Linked DNA regions of Callithrix jacchus. The protein of the gene in region 2 purifies or fractionates together with the protein of the main gene of each other region. This does not show direct contact. Links are inferred from orthologs where the notes say so. Each region holds a gene or a part of one and is shown on either strand. Other genes may lie near its edges.

Evidence for each region.
Region 1: the proteins of KIF5B (region 2) and KLC4 purify together in Homo sapiens (affinity purification with mass spectrometry; 4 studies listed by BioGRID and IntAct, with this or other methods). This does not show direct contact. The link is inferred for Callithrix jacchus from reciprocal best matches to the Homo sapiens genes KIF5B and KLC4.
Region 3: the proteins of KIF5B (region 2) and KLC3 purify together in Homo sapiens (affinity purification with mass spectrometry; 3 studies listed by BioGRID and IntAct, with this or other methods). This does not show direct contact. The link is inferred for Callithrix jacchus from reciprocal best matches to the Homo sapiens genes KIF5B and KLC3.

The regions. Positions count from the first base shown.
Region 1 is NC_133505.1:51,537,197-51,542,702, reverse strand, and holds the start of KLC4 (kinesin light chain 4), read right to left. Parts: upstream 3,438-5,506; 5' UTR 3,385-3,437; exon of another isoform or gene 3,310-3,384; 5' UTR 3,282-3,309; coding exon of another isoform or gene 3,222-3,281; 5' UTR 3,073-3,221; coding exon of another isoform or gene 2,929-3,072; 5' UTR 2,882-2,928; exon of another isoform or gene 2,453-2,881; intron 1,743-2,452; 5' UTR 1,719-1,742; coding exon 1,464-1,718; intron 131-1,463; coding exon 1-130. Other genes in the region: MRPL2 (large ribosomal subunit protein uL2m), read left to right, coding at 2,929-3,072, 4,866-5,034.
Region 2 is NC_133508.1:31,751,848-31,756,629, forward strand, and holds part of KIF5B (kinesin-1 heavy chain), read right to left. Parts: intron 3,825-4,782; coding exon 3,764-3,824; intron 3,663-3,763; coding exon 3,591-3,662; intron 3,426-3,590; coding exon 3,321-3,425; intron 2,383-3,320; coding exon 2,166-2,382; intron 1,014-2,165; coding exon 883-1,013; 3' UTR 863-882; intron 1-862. UniProt on the Homo sapiens protein: Microtubule-dependent motor required for normal distribution of mitochondria and lysosomes. Can induce formation of neurite-like membrane protrusions in non-neuronal cells in a ZFYVE27-dependent manner.
Region 3 is NC_133523.1:39,524,120-39,529,556, reverse strand, and holds the start of KLC3 (kinesin light chain 3), read right to left. Parts: upstream 3,543-5,437; 5' UTR 3,440-3,542; coding exon 3,298-3,439; intron 2,941-3,297; coding exon 2,675-2,940; intron 1,392-2,674; coding exon 1,161-1,391; intron 605-1,160; coding exon 538-604; intron 168-537; coding exon 1-167. UniProt on the Homo sapiens protein: Kinesin is a microtubule-associated force-producing protein that may play a role in organelle transport. Plays a role during spermiogenesis in the development of the sperm tail midpiece and in the normal function of spermatozoa.

The DNA.
Region 1 (5,506 bases), on a different chromosome or scaffold from region 2:
GCCGCTGCTGGGTGCCAGCCAGCTCATCCCGCAGCCACTGGTTCTCCTGGCACAGCCGCCGCACCTGAGCCCGCAGCTTCTGTTTCTCCGACTCCACTGTGGTCAGATGGCTAGCTAGAGCCAGCATCACCTAGATGGACACATACCCTGAGTTCCAGATTCTGGGTGGGAGTATTCAGGTACAGGTGGAAGGGGAGCCTACTGCAGGTGGCAAGACTGGCAGGGGCACAGAGGAGCCAGAAGGTAGGCATGTAGCAATGTCTCTACCTTCAATACATACCCTGAATCCAATTTCCCACCACCTCCACTGCCGTTACCCTAGGCCAAGCCACTATCAATTCCCACCCGAAATAGAGTAGCTTCCTCACTAGCCTCCTGGTTTCTGCCCTTGTTCCCCCGTTGTCTATTCGTAACTCAGCAGCCAGATGATGCCGAGTTAGACCACATCACTCCTCTTCTGAAAACATTCCAATAATTTCCATCTCACTCAAAGTTAAATCAGGGCTGGGTGCAGTAGCTCACACCTGTAATCCCAACACTTTGGGAGGCAGAGGCAGGCGGATCATGAGGTCAGGAGTTCAAGACCAGCCTGGCCAACGTGGTGAAACCCCTGCATCTTTGTATTTGTAAAAATACAAAAAATTAGCCGGGTCTGATGGTGCATGCTTATAGTCCCAGTCTACTCGGGAAGCTGGAGCAGGAGAATCACTTGAACCCAGCAGGATAACTGCTTGAACTCGGCAGGCAGAGGTTGCAGTGAGCTAAGATCACGCCGCTCCAGCCTGGGCAACAGTGGGAGACTCCATTTCAAAAAAAAAGTAAAATCAAAGTCCTCAGGATGGCCTACAAGTTCCACATGATCTATCTCCCTCCTCTCCAACCCTATTACCCCTCAGACTTAATTTTCTACTTTGCTTCTCTGCATTCACTCTACTGCAGGCATACTGGCCCCTTGCTATTCACTGACCTGACCAGGCAGACTTCTGTTCAGGGCCTCTGTACTTGCTGCTCTCTCTGCTTAGGACACCCTTCCCCTGTTTATGCCATGACTCATTCCCTTCAAATCTTTGTCAAAATGTCACCTTTTCAGTAAGCCCTTTTTTGACCACCCTATCTAAAATTATACCCTGTCTCTATAGTCCCTAGTTTCCTTCCCTGCTTCATTTTTGTCCTTTTATCCTTAGCAATTACCACTCTGGCATACCAAATGTATTTATGTACTGTTTGTCTTCCCCAGCCAGAAGGTAAGCTCCAAGATGGCAAAGATTTTTTACAGTTTTGTTGAATGATGTATCTCTTCAGTACCCAAAAGCAGTCTGGCACACAGTAGGGACTCAATACATATTTAATGAATGAATGCAAACATCTAGGGCGAGGTGATCCCAAGCAACCCCAAACCTCCAATCAGATAACTGTTCCTCCATCTACCCCGAACCACTTGGGGGCCACCCTTGCCCTCTCACCTGGGCCTCACTCAGCCCGAGCTCAATGTTTTCCATAGAACGGCGAAGCTGCCGGGCTTTCTCATGCACCAGCCCTTCCTCATGGTCTCCCTGCAGACACTCAATGGTCTGGGACAGGCTTTGCAGCACAGCCTGGTGTTCACTGTGTAGGGCCTCTAGCCCTTGGCTCACCAGCCGTGTGCTGCCCAGGATCTCCTCTTGGCTGAGCCGGTGCCCCATAGGCTCATCTCGCTGCCCCAACACCAGGCCTGACATCCTGGCCAGGGATCCTTGCCTGGTCTAGGAAGAAACAACAGAGTTCAGCTGAAGTAAAGATGAGATAGAGAAGCTGAGCAACTTTCTTAGAAGGTGGTGAGAATCCAAGTAAAGGGACAAAAGTAAGAGTGACCCTGTGGCTTAGTTGGAGAGAGAGAGTGACCAGCAGGCAGGGAGCCTAGATCACTAACTCAAAGCTAAGGTTGTGGGCAAAGAGCGAGGGAGATGAACTGACTTAAACAAAGGAAGGCTGTAACAGGAACAAAGGTGCTTAGAACTAGCAGAAGGATTTAGGACTTAGGAAGACAACAGAAAAGCAGTTAGAGAGAGAGCCTGGGTTAGGAAAAGGAATCAGGGGATGAGAGACAGCACCCAGGGGATCACAGAGGGACTTCGGGAGAGCTGCAAAGGAAACAGGGTTGAAGTGGGAGATATGCAGAAAACAATGCAGGAGTTTAGAAAAAAGGGAAGGAATCTCTGCAAAGTTAAATCAGTGAAGAAAGTGAAAAGAAGAAAACAGGAGCCTTCCTTGCAGGATCCACATTAGAGAGTCCCAGAAAACTCAAGGCCTTCAGGCTGCATCACCTGCAGAACTAAGTCCAGCATCTCCAAACCTGGTCAGCCCTGCATCTTTTCCCACTAACCTTCAACCCATACTTCCCACCCCCCAGAACTCAGGCTGTGTTCCCACTTCCTCGGAAGGGTCTTGTTTCTAATCTTTGAAGTCTTCTTACCTGTGTACAGACCAGAACCCCTGGCTGTGGGACTCAGGCCGGAGCCCGGAAGAAACTCTGTTCAGCAGTCAGACTCAGAAGGATCTGCCCTGCCCAAAGTCCAGAAGTCCAGCGTTCCCACCCCTTCTCTCACCACTTCACAGCTACCCAGAGGACCCGGCACAGAGCCCCACCCAGGACAAACACCCTCCCTTCCTCTCTCCCTCCTTCTACCTACAGGTCTTCAAAGACACCCAATTCCCTTCTCCTTCCCCATGCCAGCCTCCGTAACCGCAGGCCTGAGGAGCTACAGTCTCCCACGAAGAGAGTGAAAGAGACTTAATCAGAGACCTACAGCAAGAGGCGTGTCTTGGGAAAAGGGAGGGAGGAACACCTGGTCACTCCAAACCCAGCCACTTCCATGGCTTTGTCTCTGTCACGGTCACCTACAAACAGGCTCTGAGAGGAATCACCGTAGGCTGCCTCCCTAATGCCCGATGATGCAGGGAAGAATGGGACGTCTGCTTAGCGGCTGCGGGGTCGCAGTGAACCGCGGCGCAAGAGTGGGTCTCCCGGACTTGGGAACGCAGAAGAGGAATGCCTCGGGCTGCCGACCTGCCCTGGGGCGCAGTGTTGGGAGAGTGAGATGGGCGGGGGCAGGAGGGGGGAGGTGTGGATGGATGACTGAGGTCCGCGGCTCCAGCGAGGACCAGGAGGCCTAACGACCCCGAGGTCACTGAGTCAGCTGGTGGCGCAGGGGGCGGGGCAGGCCGTCTGTCTGTCTGTCTGGATGCCGAGGGGCGGGGAAGAATCGCGAAGGGCGGAGTTTTTGAGTCCGGAGTTTTGTAAGGTTGGTTGAAGGGGGTTTGTTCATCTTTCTGGAAGTGCGAGAATAAAAGATGGCAGAAATCTTAACCTTCAGCCCCAGAGGTACTGAAGACTCAAAGACTCACCTGCAATCTACCGGTCTGTCTGCCGCTCTTGCCGGTACTGCCCCTTTAAATCCATGATGGCTGCCGCTCGAGGCAATTGTTTTGACGGGTCTAAGGGGCGGGACCCGTTTCCTAGTCACGCGACATTAGAGCTGCCCGCGGATTGGCTGTTATCGCGTTCAGCTAGAAAGGAGGTGGGTATCCAGCTTGGGCTCCAGTTTTCTGCCCGCCTCCTTTTACGTTATTGCGGAGCGACGGCGCCTGACAGTTAACCTCATCTAGGAGCGCCGAGCAGCTTCGCTGAAAGTAAGGGTGTCTTGCTGAGCCCTAGCTAACCCGATGGCCCTGTGGGCACTGACCCGCGCTCTGCGCTCTCTGAGCCTGGCACCCCCGACCGTCGCCGCCCCTGTCCCAAGTCTGTTCCCCGCCGCCCAGGTAATCCACCTTAACCGGGAAGAAGGCTGGTTCCATTCGGGCTGCCGGAGATGGGGTTTGCGCGGATGCGAGACGCAGGGTGCCAGGCTGGTCAGGAGTCGCGCAGGTCCGTGACCTTGGATAAGGCACACTCTCAGCCTCATCTTTCTCCTCTACAAATGTTGCTGTCTTATAGGGCGAAATTCTTCAGACGAGATACTTAAGGTGAAAGTGCTTTGGAGATCACCGGTTGCAGAGGTTTCAGTAATTAACATTTACCGAGTGCTTATGATAAGCAAGGTATAGGTAATAGACGTTTCAAATAAATGAGCTCCTTTCAAACCTCTATAAGGCAGTTATTATTCCCATTTTATAGATGAGAAAATTGATAAGGAGTCCAGGGTCACACATCAACTATCAGAATTAAGCTGTCTGGCTTTCAGAACCTGTGCTCTTAACCATTATGATATGATACCTGCAAGGATTAGTTACTGCTGAGGTTAGGGAATGCAGAGCAAGATACCAAGAACAGTGGTCTTAGGGGGAAGATATCTTGAGGTCCTGGTAGGTGACTGGTGAGTCACGCAAAAGATAAGTTGTAAGTCTTGCTCCTCTGGAGCTCTCAGGCTGATTATGGTAGAGTTTGGCAGATGTATATTTAAAATTCAAATCCAAACCAACACACTCTGAAATACTGGGAATACAGCAAGGAACAAAAGTGAAATGATTCTCACCCACCCCCACTTCATATGTGAAAGAGTCCCAGAAACATAATGCAGAGGGCAAAAGGAATTGGCACTGATGGTGGTACATGGATGTGTGGATGTTACGAGCTCTGACGAACGGGATTGTTTAGAGAAGAACAGATTCCTGGAGATAGAGAATTGTGAGCCAAATTTGGAAGGAGATGACCAAGAGGAAAACATTGCTGTGCGAGCTGTGATGGGTGAAGTTTTTGGATGGCTGGTTTGGGACACATCCTGGAGGAAGTGGGCTACAAGCTAAAATTGATCTGTGTACTCTGCCTTGGTTCTCTGATGCTTTGCCTTCAACTAGTTTTCAAATGAAAGATGTCTTTTTATCCCCAGATGATGGACAGTGCCCTCCTCCAACAGCCCTCTGTCTTGATGTTGCTCCCCTGCTGCCCAGTCCTTACTTCTGCGGCCCTTAATGCCAACTTTGTGTCCTGGAAGAGTCGTACCAAGTACACCATTACACCAGTGAAGATGAGGAAGTCTGGGGGCCGAGACCACACAGGTGGGAACAAGGACAAGGGGATTTAAGCAGTCAAAGGGAAAAACATGTTAAGACCCTAGACCTGTATATTGAAACACTTGAACTTTGTAAGGCTGAGGAACGTAATTAAAAATCACTTATTTGGCTCCTTTTGCATGTAGTATGTGCACAGGAACCAGAAACTAGAATGCAAAGCAATAAATAAAACTGGTCTGTGCTTCTAAAGACAATTTGGGTAATTGAGAAAAAAATGGGCCATACACAGGAAGTACCATGACATTTTCCTTCACACCCTTCAAAAATTTATAACAGGCCAGGTAAGGTGACTCATGCCTATAATCCCAGCACTTTGGGAGGCCGAAGCGGGCAGATCACCTGAGGTCACAAGTTTAAGACCAGGCTGGACAACATGGCGAAACTCCATCTCTACTAAAAATATAAAAATTGGCTGGGTGCAGTGGGTCACACCTGTAATCCCAGCACTCTGGGAGGC
Region 2 (4,782 bases):
TTTATGCAGTACATAATTATAAATTAATAAAGCTCAGAAATCTGTTAGTAACCTGGGCTCATATGCAATTCAGTGCCGTCTTTCTAGAAACCAATGTGTAAATATGAACAAAGAGCCTTAAAAATGTTCACATTTCCTTGTAATTCCATTTCTGGGAAGCTTCTGGAAATAATCTCTAACAGGTTAGGGAGTACAAAAAGATGTTTTAGACCAGGCCCAATGGCTCATGCCTGTAATCCCAGCACTTTGGGAGGCTGAGCGGGCAGATCACATGAAGTCAGGTGCTTGACACCAGCCTGGCCAACATGGTAAAACCCCGTCTCTACTAAAAATACAAAAATCTAGCCGGGTGTGGTGATGGGCACCTGTAATCCCAGCTACTCAGGAGACTGAGGCAGGAGAATTGCTTGAACCCAGGAGGCGGAGGTTGCAGTGAGCCGATCTCACGCCATTGCACTCCAGGCTGGGTGACAAGAGTGACACTCCATCTCAAAAAAAAAAACGATGTTTCATATTTCGTACATAAAAATTGTGGTTTCTGTAAATTTCAATTATGGAACAAATTAATATAATTACATATCTAGCAAAAAGGGATGTTTATAAACCATGGTACATCCATTAGACAGAACATTAAGAGCTATTTATTACAAATGGTCCAATGCTAGATTTCAAAACAATTAAGATCACAAATTTGAATACAGTATGATCTAAACTATAAAAAAAGATCAAGCTAAATAACTTTTATAATTGCTTAAGTTTAAAAAAATTATAGCACTAATATGAGAATTTTTAAAACCCCCAAAACCATTTAACAACCAATTTTCCATATATAGCTATGAAAAGCCAGGTATAAATTACAAACCTGTGGGTATGTATAAATGTTTACACTTGTTTGCCTCCTCCACCTCGAACTGCCACTGGCTGGCTGTTCTGAACAAACGCACCTCCTCCACGAATTGCACTTGGATGAGTTGGAGAAGCTGCTGGATGTTGCCCGGGACGAATAGGTTTAGCTAATATGAAAAATAAAGACTGGCTTTAGAATAAAGCTTAAGATGTGACAGCAATGACTATTAAGGTATCTTCTCTTATTCTCGACAAATTTCCAAATGATTAGTTTTTCTTTGCCTTTTTGTTTCTCTATCACTTTTTCTTTTCTGTTCCATTCTTTTTTCTAGGACCTGTACAATTCTTAGCCTTTAAAAATCTTCTTCCTGGCCAGGTGCAGTGGCTCAGGCCTGTGTAATGCCGGCACTTCAAGAGGCTGAGGTGGGTGGATCACTTGAGTCCAGGATTTCAAGACCAAAGAGAGCAGTAAGGCAAGACCCAGTCTCTACAGAAAATACAAAAATCAGCCAGATGTGGTGGTATGCTCCTGTAGGTAGTCCTGGCTACTTGGGAGGCTGAGGTGGGAGGATTGCATGGGCCTGGGAGGTTAGGGCTGCAGAGAGCCATAATTGTACCACTGCAGTCCAGCACAGGTGACAGTGTAAGACCCTGTGTCATTTAAATAAATATACAGAAACAAATAAAAAACAAAAAACTTCCTGCACCAATGATGGTTATTATTATTATTTGAGATGGAGTCTCTCTCTTGTCACCCAGGCTGGAGTGCAATGGCGCAATCTTGACTCACTGCAACCTCCACCTCCCAGCTTCAAAGGATTTTCCTGCCCCGGCCTCCCAAGTAGCTGGGATTACAGCTGTTAACCACCATGCCCAGCTAATTTTCTGTATTTAGTAGAGAGGCGGTTTCACCATGTTAGTCAGGTTGGTCTCAAACTCCTGACCTCAGGTGATCCAACCACCTCGGCCTCCCAAGGTGCTGGGATTACAGGCGTGAGCCATTGTGCCCAGCCACCAATGATCATTCTTAAACATGAAATCATTGCTGATGGCTTTTCTTGCAATTCTCTTGGCTTTAGTAATATTGCTCTATATAGTTTCTCCATTCCATGACAATTCTTGCTTGCTTCTCTAGTTCTCATTTATCTTCATGTCCTGCTAATGTGGTTATTCCTCTTTCCCACCATGTGCCACTCTTTGCTAAGTTAGAAAATAAAGACAGATGCACCATGAAAACACGTTATAAAATTCAGATTATGTTTTCAACTAAAAGCATTCAAACTGAGCAAGGTTTAAAGGTTTTAATGTGTTCTACTAACCAATCTGTGCAGAATGCCCTCTTCTGGCCATATTCTTTGACCTGACTGCTTCCTTTATGCGATCTACTTCTTGCTGATAGCGTTTGCGATCACGAGATGCATTTTCTTTGGCTTCTTTCAACGCTGATTCCAAAGCTTTCACTCTTTCAGCTGTAGCTCGAAGTCGCTTTTCCAACTTAGGAAGTTCGCAGCGGAGATCTGCATTATCACGTACCAACTAAGGGGTTCACAAAGAAAACAAGGATTCTAGATTTAACAAAATGATTTTTAAAAGTACAAGTATTTCATAATTGCTCTTTAGAAAAGAAGTAAAACTGCATCTTATGTTGTTTCCCATTTATCTAATTTAGGCAGAAACATGCAGAGAATACATCCATCTGTACATATCATATACACATCTATTTATTCACAAAGGTATAATTTCCTCTAATTTTTTTTGAGGGGGGGGACTGTTATTTCCCTCTACTAGGCAAAGACAATAAATTACAAGACAGTGCTATGTTTCTTCAGTAAGACAAGTAATCTGCTGAAATGAAAATCTCTTTAGATATATTAAGCACATAAGAAACATAAACTTAGCAAGACCCTTAATAAGTGCTGAAGACAAGAAAAGCTAAAATATCTTTAACCATACTCTGGTGCAAACATCAGGTTTACAGTAACAAAGATACACAACAATTAAGTGTAGAGAAACTTTTTGAAATTAGTAACTTAAATCATTTATCAAGTCCCAACAAAAAATAAGCAAAGAACCAAAAAAACCTCCAAAGTAAGCATTACTTTTTAAAAACATGACAAACTCCTTCATTATATTTGACACACTGGGTGGTGTATTAGGTATAAAAAGACCACTCTCCCCAGAAGACTGTATTTTAACTGCAAAGTCTATGTAGTAGAGATTTCAAAATTACAATAAATTATGAAAATGCAGTCTTAAAATCCTAAAGAGAAAATAAGAATACATATTTTCACTATCTCTTTTGATAATAAGGTTGTTAAAATTAACTCCTCTAAAAGTTACTTGTGGTTTCTTTACATAATTTCTGATAAAATGGCTCAGAGTATAGAAATTCTGAAAGACTGAAATACTTGCCAATAATCAATTTTTGATTTGTTACTACCCTTTCAGCTACCAGAAAATAAACTCTTTAGTACCTGTTTGTGCACTTTAGTGAGCTGTTCAAGATTATTTTCAAGAAAGGAGATTTTTTGCTTCTGAGCAGCGCTGCCTCCAGTGTCATCAGAATCAATCTCAGCACTCTGAGAAAAGAAGGTAAGTATTACGAAAAAATAAAAAAATAAAAAAAATCTAAGCTTAATTGTACAAAAACTGACATAACTATAAAGTTATTTCACTTTGAATAAAAGAATTACCTAGAAGTAAGCACCATTACACAAACACCCACCTCGGCATAGTTATATTACCTTTTTAACTCTGGTAGCCAGGTCCTGAACAAAGAGCTTGCGCAGGTTATGTAAAGTCTGAAGTTCTTTTGCCTTGGATTAAGAAACAGCAATATTTTTGGAGTTCAGACTTTAAATTCAGAATAATCATGGTAGAAAAAACCCCACAAAATATTCCCCAGTCCTTTTCTTACCACTGTCTCTTCCAAACCCTTCAAGTCTTGTTTTGCTTGTTCTCGTCTATCTTGTATAATCCTAACAGAAGAACAAACATAAATTTTCAAATTTTATTCCATAAAATTCTAGTTGTACTTTGCATGAGAGTTGAATATTTTGTATCTGAAAGGATCAATTATTAAATTTAAATAAATACAAGATGCTTGCTTTAAACAATTTATCCATGTTGTATTTCAATTTTTTTTTTTGAAACAGCGTTTCTGTCCTGAACACTGCTCACTGCAGCCTTTGACCACCTAGGCTCAAATGATCCTCCCTGCTTCAGTTTCCCAAGTAGCTGGGACTACAGGCATGTACAACCAGGCCTGTCTAAAGAGTTTTTTGTAGAGACGGGGTCTCCCTATGCTGCCTAGGCTGATTCTCAAACTCTAGGCTCAAGTGATTCTCCTGCCTTGGCCTACCAAAGTGCTATTATGGGTGTGAGCCACTGCACCTGGCCATTTTGAAGAAATTTCCTATGCCTTCTAAAACAACAGTTTATTGTTATAAATTCCATATACACCAACAAAAGAGATGAAATAAAATGTGGCCGAATTCGAAGAATAAGGAATGGTTCTAATTTGTATTTTCAAATATGCCATATTATTATACTCTTATTTATCCAAAGTGACGATTAACTAATTACAGAGATTATAAACTATCAAAGACTAAAATATTTTACATTAAAATTATTCTAAACACAATTACAGCTGCAAGTTAGCAGAATCTTTATAAAATCCACTATGAACTTGTCCTGATGTTCTAACTATCCTAATAGCAGTTCATTTGCAAATTATCTCACAAACTCAAGGTATGTGAAAAATTATAATCATGAATTTTCTACTTGAAGACTCTAGAAAACTGAGTTTTCAGAAAATGAGAAAAAGTAAACCATGGAAACCTCTGTTCAAAACGGCAAGGCTAAAACCACAATGCTCTTTTATGTAAGAGAAAAACTTAACAAAAACTTAGTTTTTGTGATAGATCTTAAAATCTT
Region 3 (5,437 bases), on a different chromosome or scaffold from region 2:
GCCGGAGCTGCGCTCCAGGTCCTCCAAGGCCTGGCGGCACAGAGGCACTGCTACCTCATAGCGGCCCTGCCCCGCGTACTGGATCACGAGGTTATGCAGGGTTCGAAGTCGGGCGGGGATCTCGTAGCCGCCCTGCTGAGCCGCTGCTGCTCCTGCAGCCTCAGGACCTAAGTGGGGGATGGGGTGGGCTCTGAGTAACCGCAGCCTCTTGCTCCTCCAGCCTTGCATGAGGGGACACTGCCCAGAACTGCCAGACTGCCCAACTGGTCCCTGAAACTATAGCCCTACCCCCAACACTGACTTCTAAGATTGGGGTCACTAGCATCTAACCAGCTGGAACACAGCAACCCACCTGCCTTGTGGAATGTGAATACAGGGCCTGCCGTGCAGGGGGGCTACCCTGCCCATTGTCACATTCAGGGTCCTCCTGAACCTGCCCTTACCTCCCCCTCCCCTGCTCAGAGACTAGGGTCTGGCAGCTCAGAGCCCCCTCCCCGCCCTTGCCATCCCTCAGGGCATGTACCCCCTGACACCCACCTTTCCTCTCCTCCTCGCTGGGGAACAGGGAGGCCAGGCTGTCTCGGCGAGGCGGGGACTCAGGCTGCTGCAGGGACATGGAAAGTGGGGGGTCAGGAGGTGTGTGGGTTTCAGAGATGGGGCCCTGGATCTCAGGGTTTGAGGGAGGTGGTTATCACGAGTGTGAGGGGCCCCGGGGGACAGGCGAGGTTCTGGGAACTTCGTGGAGCAGCTGGTGGGGGTGTCTACAGGAGTGCTGCTGGGTCTGTCTGGGGGCTCTACGGAGGGTTGGGGGTCTGGGGACTGTGGGACACTAAGGAGGCTCTAGGGGACTGTGGGACTCTAAGGAACTCTAAGGAGGTTCTGGGGGACTGGGGCTCTAAGGAGGGTTGGGGGGACTGTGGGACTCTCCAGAGGGTCAGGGGAACTGTAACGAGGGTCTGGGGGACTGTGGGACTCTACAGAGGGACTCTAAGGAGGGTTGGGGGGCTCTAAGGAGGTTCTGGGGGACTATAGGACTCAAAGCAGGGTCTGGGAAATATAAGGAGAGTCGGGGAACTGTAGGACTCTAAGGAGGGTCTGGGGGGACTGTCGGGCTCTGTGAAGGGTGAAGCCCCCATGCCGCCTTGACCTGCCTGTGGTACCTGGCTTTCTGGAGATGGGTCATACTGTCGCAGTTGCCCCAGGAACTCCAGGTGGTGCTTCTCCTCCTCCAGCTGGGCCACAGCCTCCTCGCTGGCCCGAAGCCGCCGCTGTGTCTCCTCCAGTTCCTCCCGAAGCCACACGTTCTCCTGGGCTAGCCGCCGGGCCTGTGCCCGCAGCCGCTGCTTCTCTGCCTCCAGTGTACCCATGTGTGCTGACAGGGCCAGCAGTACCTGCCCGGGGTGGGGGTCCTAAGTCGATGCTGGTTCCTACCCTTCCAGGCAGCCCACAACCCAGCCCAGGCCTCAAATCAGGCTGCAGCCCCTCACTGCTATGCACAATACCCCAAGTTCTGCAGAGACTCCACCAATGCAGCTCCAGTGTCCTCAGTTTCCCAGGGGCCCCTCTGATTTCACCCCCACACTCACCCCAGGACTCAGTTTGCTGAAGAATGCCATCTGGTTCAGGGGTCCCTGTCACAAGGACCCCATAAAGCTGCCAAGGGACTCGGTCTCTGGCCTGGAGCCTCCCCTTCCCAGGCCTGATTTCCCCAGGCCTCGCCCTGCAGCATTGCGCCTCTCTGGCATTTTTTTTTTTTTTGAGGTGGAGTCTCGCTCTGTCACCCAGGCTGGAGAGCAGTGGCATGATCTTGGCTCACTGCAACCTCCGCCTCCCAGGTTCAATTCTCCTGCCTCAGCTTCCTGAGGAGCTGGGACTACAGGCATGTGCCACCATGCCTAGCTAATTTTTGTATTTTTAGTAGAGACGGGGTTTCACCATGTTGACCAGGCTGGTCTCGATCTCTTGACCTCATGATCCACCCACCTTGGCCTCCCAAAGTGCTGGGATTACAGGTGTGAGTCACCGCACCCGGCTCTGCCATACTTTTTTTTGAGACAGTCTCGCTCTGTCACCCAGGCTGGAGTGCAGTGGCACAATCTCGGCTTACTGCAACCTCCATCTCCCAGATTCAAGTGATCCTCCTGCCTCGGTCTCCTGCGTAGCTAGGACTACAGCCACGTACCACCATGCCCAGCTAATTTTTTTTGTTTTTACTTTGAGATGGAGTTTCACTCTTGCTGCTCAGGCTAGAGTACAATGGCTTAATCTCCGCTCACTGCAACCTCTGCCTCCCAGCTTCAAGCTGTTTTCCTACCTCGGCCTCCTGAGTAGCTGGGACTACAAGCGCCTGCCACAACACTGGGCTGATTTTTGAATATTTAGTAAAGACCGGGTTTCACTAGGTTGGACAGGCTGGTCTCTAACTCCTGACCTCGTGATCTGCCCACCTCAGCCTACCCAAGTGCTGGGATTACAGGCATGTAATCCTTTAGTTTTTGAATTTTTAGTAGAGATGGGTTTTCACTATGATACCAGGCTGGTCTCGAACTCCTGATCTCATGATTAGCCGGCTTCAGGCTCCCAGTGTGCCCCTCTGCAATAGTGAGCTTCATACCTGGCCCTCCCCCACCCTCAGCTGACTGTCCCCCAGCCCCCCACCTAGCCCCCCTCATACCTGGGCCTCGCCCAGCCCCAGCTCGATGGCCTCCAGCGAGTGGCTCACCACCTGCTGCTTTTCCTCCAGCATCTCCCAGCCAGCCACTGGGCCTTGTCCCGCCAGCGCCTGCGCCAGGTGCCCTGCCAGGCCACAGTGCTCTGCCCGCAGCGCCTCCAGACCCTGTACCACTTGACGCGTCTGCCGCACCAGCTCCTCAGGGCTCAGGCGCTCTGGGCCCAGCCCCGCGCTTCCGGGTGCTGCCACCTGCACAGACATTGCTGCTTCTGGAGGGTAACAGTGGGGGGGTCAGGGAATCATTGCCAGGGCCAAGCAAGCTGGCCCCAGCCTCTACTCCCATAATAGCCATCAGGACCCCTAACTTCTCCCCATCCTATCTCTTCCCCACTCCACCCATTCTGGCCAGCCCTCTGCCTCCATACCCTCTGCATCCCAGTTTCCACACACATCCCAGCCCTCAGCTGACTGTCCCCCAGCCCCCCACCTAGCCAGCTCTCATCTAGAACATTCTAACCTACCTTCCTCTGTCCTCCCAACCCAGGGTTCTGCCCAAATCCTATGCATAATTAACCAAGAGAGGGCAAACAGCTGGCCTGGGGGTCCCCCATCTTCCCTCAGCTCACCTGCCCAGCCTTCCCCACCCCAAGGCCCCTGGATCTCTGGGCCCAGAGCTCCAGGTCGGCCGTGTGACCTGGGAGAGGCACCCTCCTCTGCCGGGCAAGTGGGGCGGGACATGTGGAGGCGGCAGCCTCTGCGTGAGCTCATTCTTAGGGTGTTTTTGTTGGGAACCAGTCAGACCACTGGGGGTGGGGTGTGGTGGGAGGAGAAGGCTGAGGGGCTGGGGCCCCTGGAAGCCCAGGAGGCCTCTAGGTTGGGGGGGTAGAGGAGGGGGTCATGTGTCGGCTCCCAGGTAACAGGGGCTCCACCCTCTTCCATCACAGACAGGCTCAGCCAGCCCAGGGCCTGTTGGGACACACATGTGATAGGTGTGGTCCAGGGATGTCACACTGGCCATGGGACAGCTGAGGGTCTGAAGCCCAGCTCACAGTGGGCAGGGCCCCTCCATGGGACTTCATGTGGTTGTATGTGGGTCACAGCTTAGCTGGCGATGCCTCTGGGGTCCTCCTAGACACACACACTCCTCAGAAGCACACCTCACACACCTCACCCTCCCTTCTTAAAGGCACAATGCAACACCCACATTCTCCTCTCTGAAATACAATTTGACACACACACAAATGTCCCCTTCTCTCAAATACAAGACAGGGACCGGCATGGAGGTTCATGCCTGTTATCCCAGCACTTTGGGAAGCTGAGGCAGGCAGATCACTTGAGGCCAGGAATTTGAGACCAGCCTGGCCAACCTGGTGAAACCCCATCTCTACTAAAAATACAAAACAAAATTAGCTGGGTGTGGGGGTGGGCACCTGTTGTCCCAGCTACTCAGGAGGCTGAGGCAGGAGAATCTCTTGAACCTGGGAGGTGGAGGTTGCAGTGAGCCCAGATCGTGCCACTGCAATCCAGCTTGGGTTACAGAATAAGACTCTGTCTCAAAACAAAAAACATGGTATACTCATGTACCCTCCAAAAATAGTTACACACACATACTCCCTCATTAGAAATACAGTGGAGGCCAGGTGTGTGGCTCACACCTGTATTCCCAGCACTCTGGAATTCTGGCTGAGGCAGGAGGACCACTTGAGACCAGGAGTTTGAGACCAGCCTGGGAAACAGCGAGACCCCATCTCTACAAACAAAATCAAAAATTTAGCCAGGTGTGGTTGGTGGCATACCTGGAGGCTGAGGTGGAAGGATCGCTTGAACCCAGGAGGTTGGAGCTGCACCGCTCAGCCTGGGCGACAGCACAAGACCCAGTTTAAAACAGAAAAAAAAAAAAAAATCAACATATACATTCTCCTCTTAAAAATACAACTCTACACACACCTACATTTTCCTTTTAGAAATACAACCTAACAACACACTCAGGCACACACACATATACTGTTCCTTCAAAAACAATCTGTACACACTTCCCTTTTAGAAATTCCACCCAACTCACAGGTATATTTTCAGAAATAAAAGCCAAGGCTGGGCATGGTGGCTCACGCCTGTAATCCCAGCACTGGGAGGCTGAGGCGGGTGAATCCCCTGAGGTCAGGCGTTTGCGACCAGCCTGGCCAACATGGTGAAACCCCCTCTCTACTAAAAATACAAAAATTAAGCTCAATGTGGTGGTGGGTGCCTGTAATATCAGCTACTTGGGAGGCTGAGGCAGGAGAATCACTTGAACCTGGGAGGCCGAGGTTGCAGTGAGCCGAGAGGGTGCCACTGCACTCCAGCCTGATGACAGAGTGAGATGCCTTCTCAAAAAAAAAAAAAAAAAAGAAAAGAAAAAGATGCTAGTCTAAGCAGAGGAAAACTCACGCAGAAACTAACTGTCTCTCCCACTCGTGAAATCACTCACTCAGACCATCTCCGTGCACCTGACCCTGACACTGTCTCCCAAACTCACACAGCCCCATAAAGTGCCTCACACACCTCTAGATTCACATACTCCCAGGATCATTTTGGAGCCCCCGCCAGCTTCCCCACCTCCTCCTCCTCCCCCTCCAGGCCTGGCCAGCAGGGACTCCCACACCTACACACTGTGTACTGCGATTCAGTTCCGCTGTCAGAACAGAAAGCTGTGGATGTGCGCGGAGGGATGCCACGTTCACGCACACTTCGCTCAAGGCACTGCGTCCACCATAAGCAGTGCAGCAG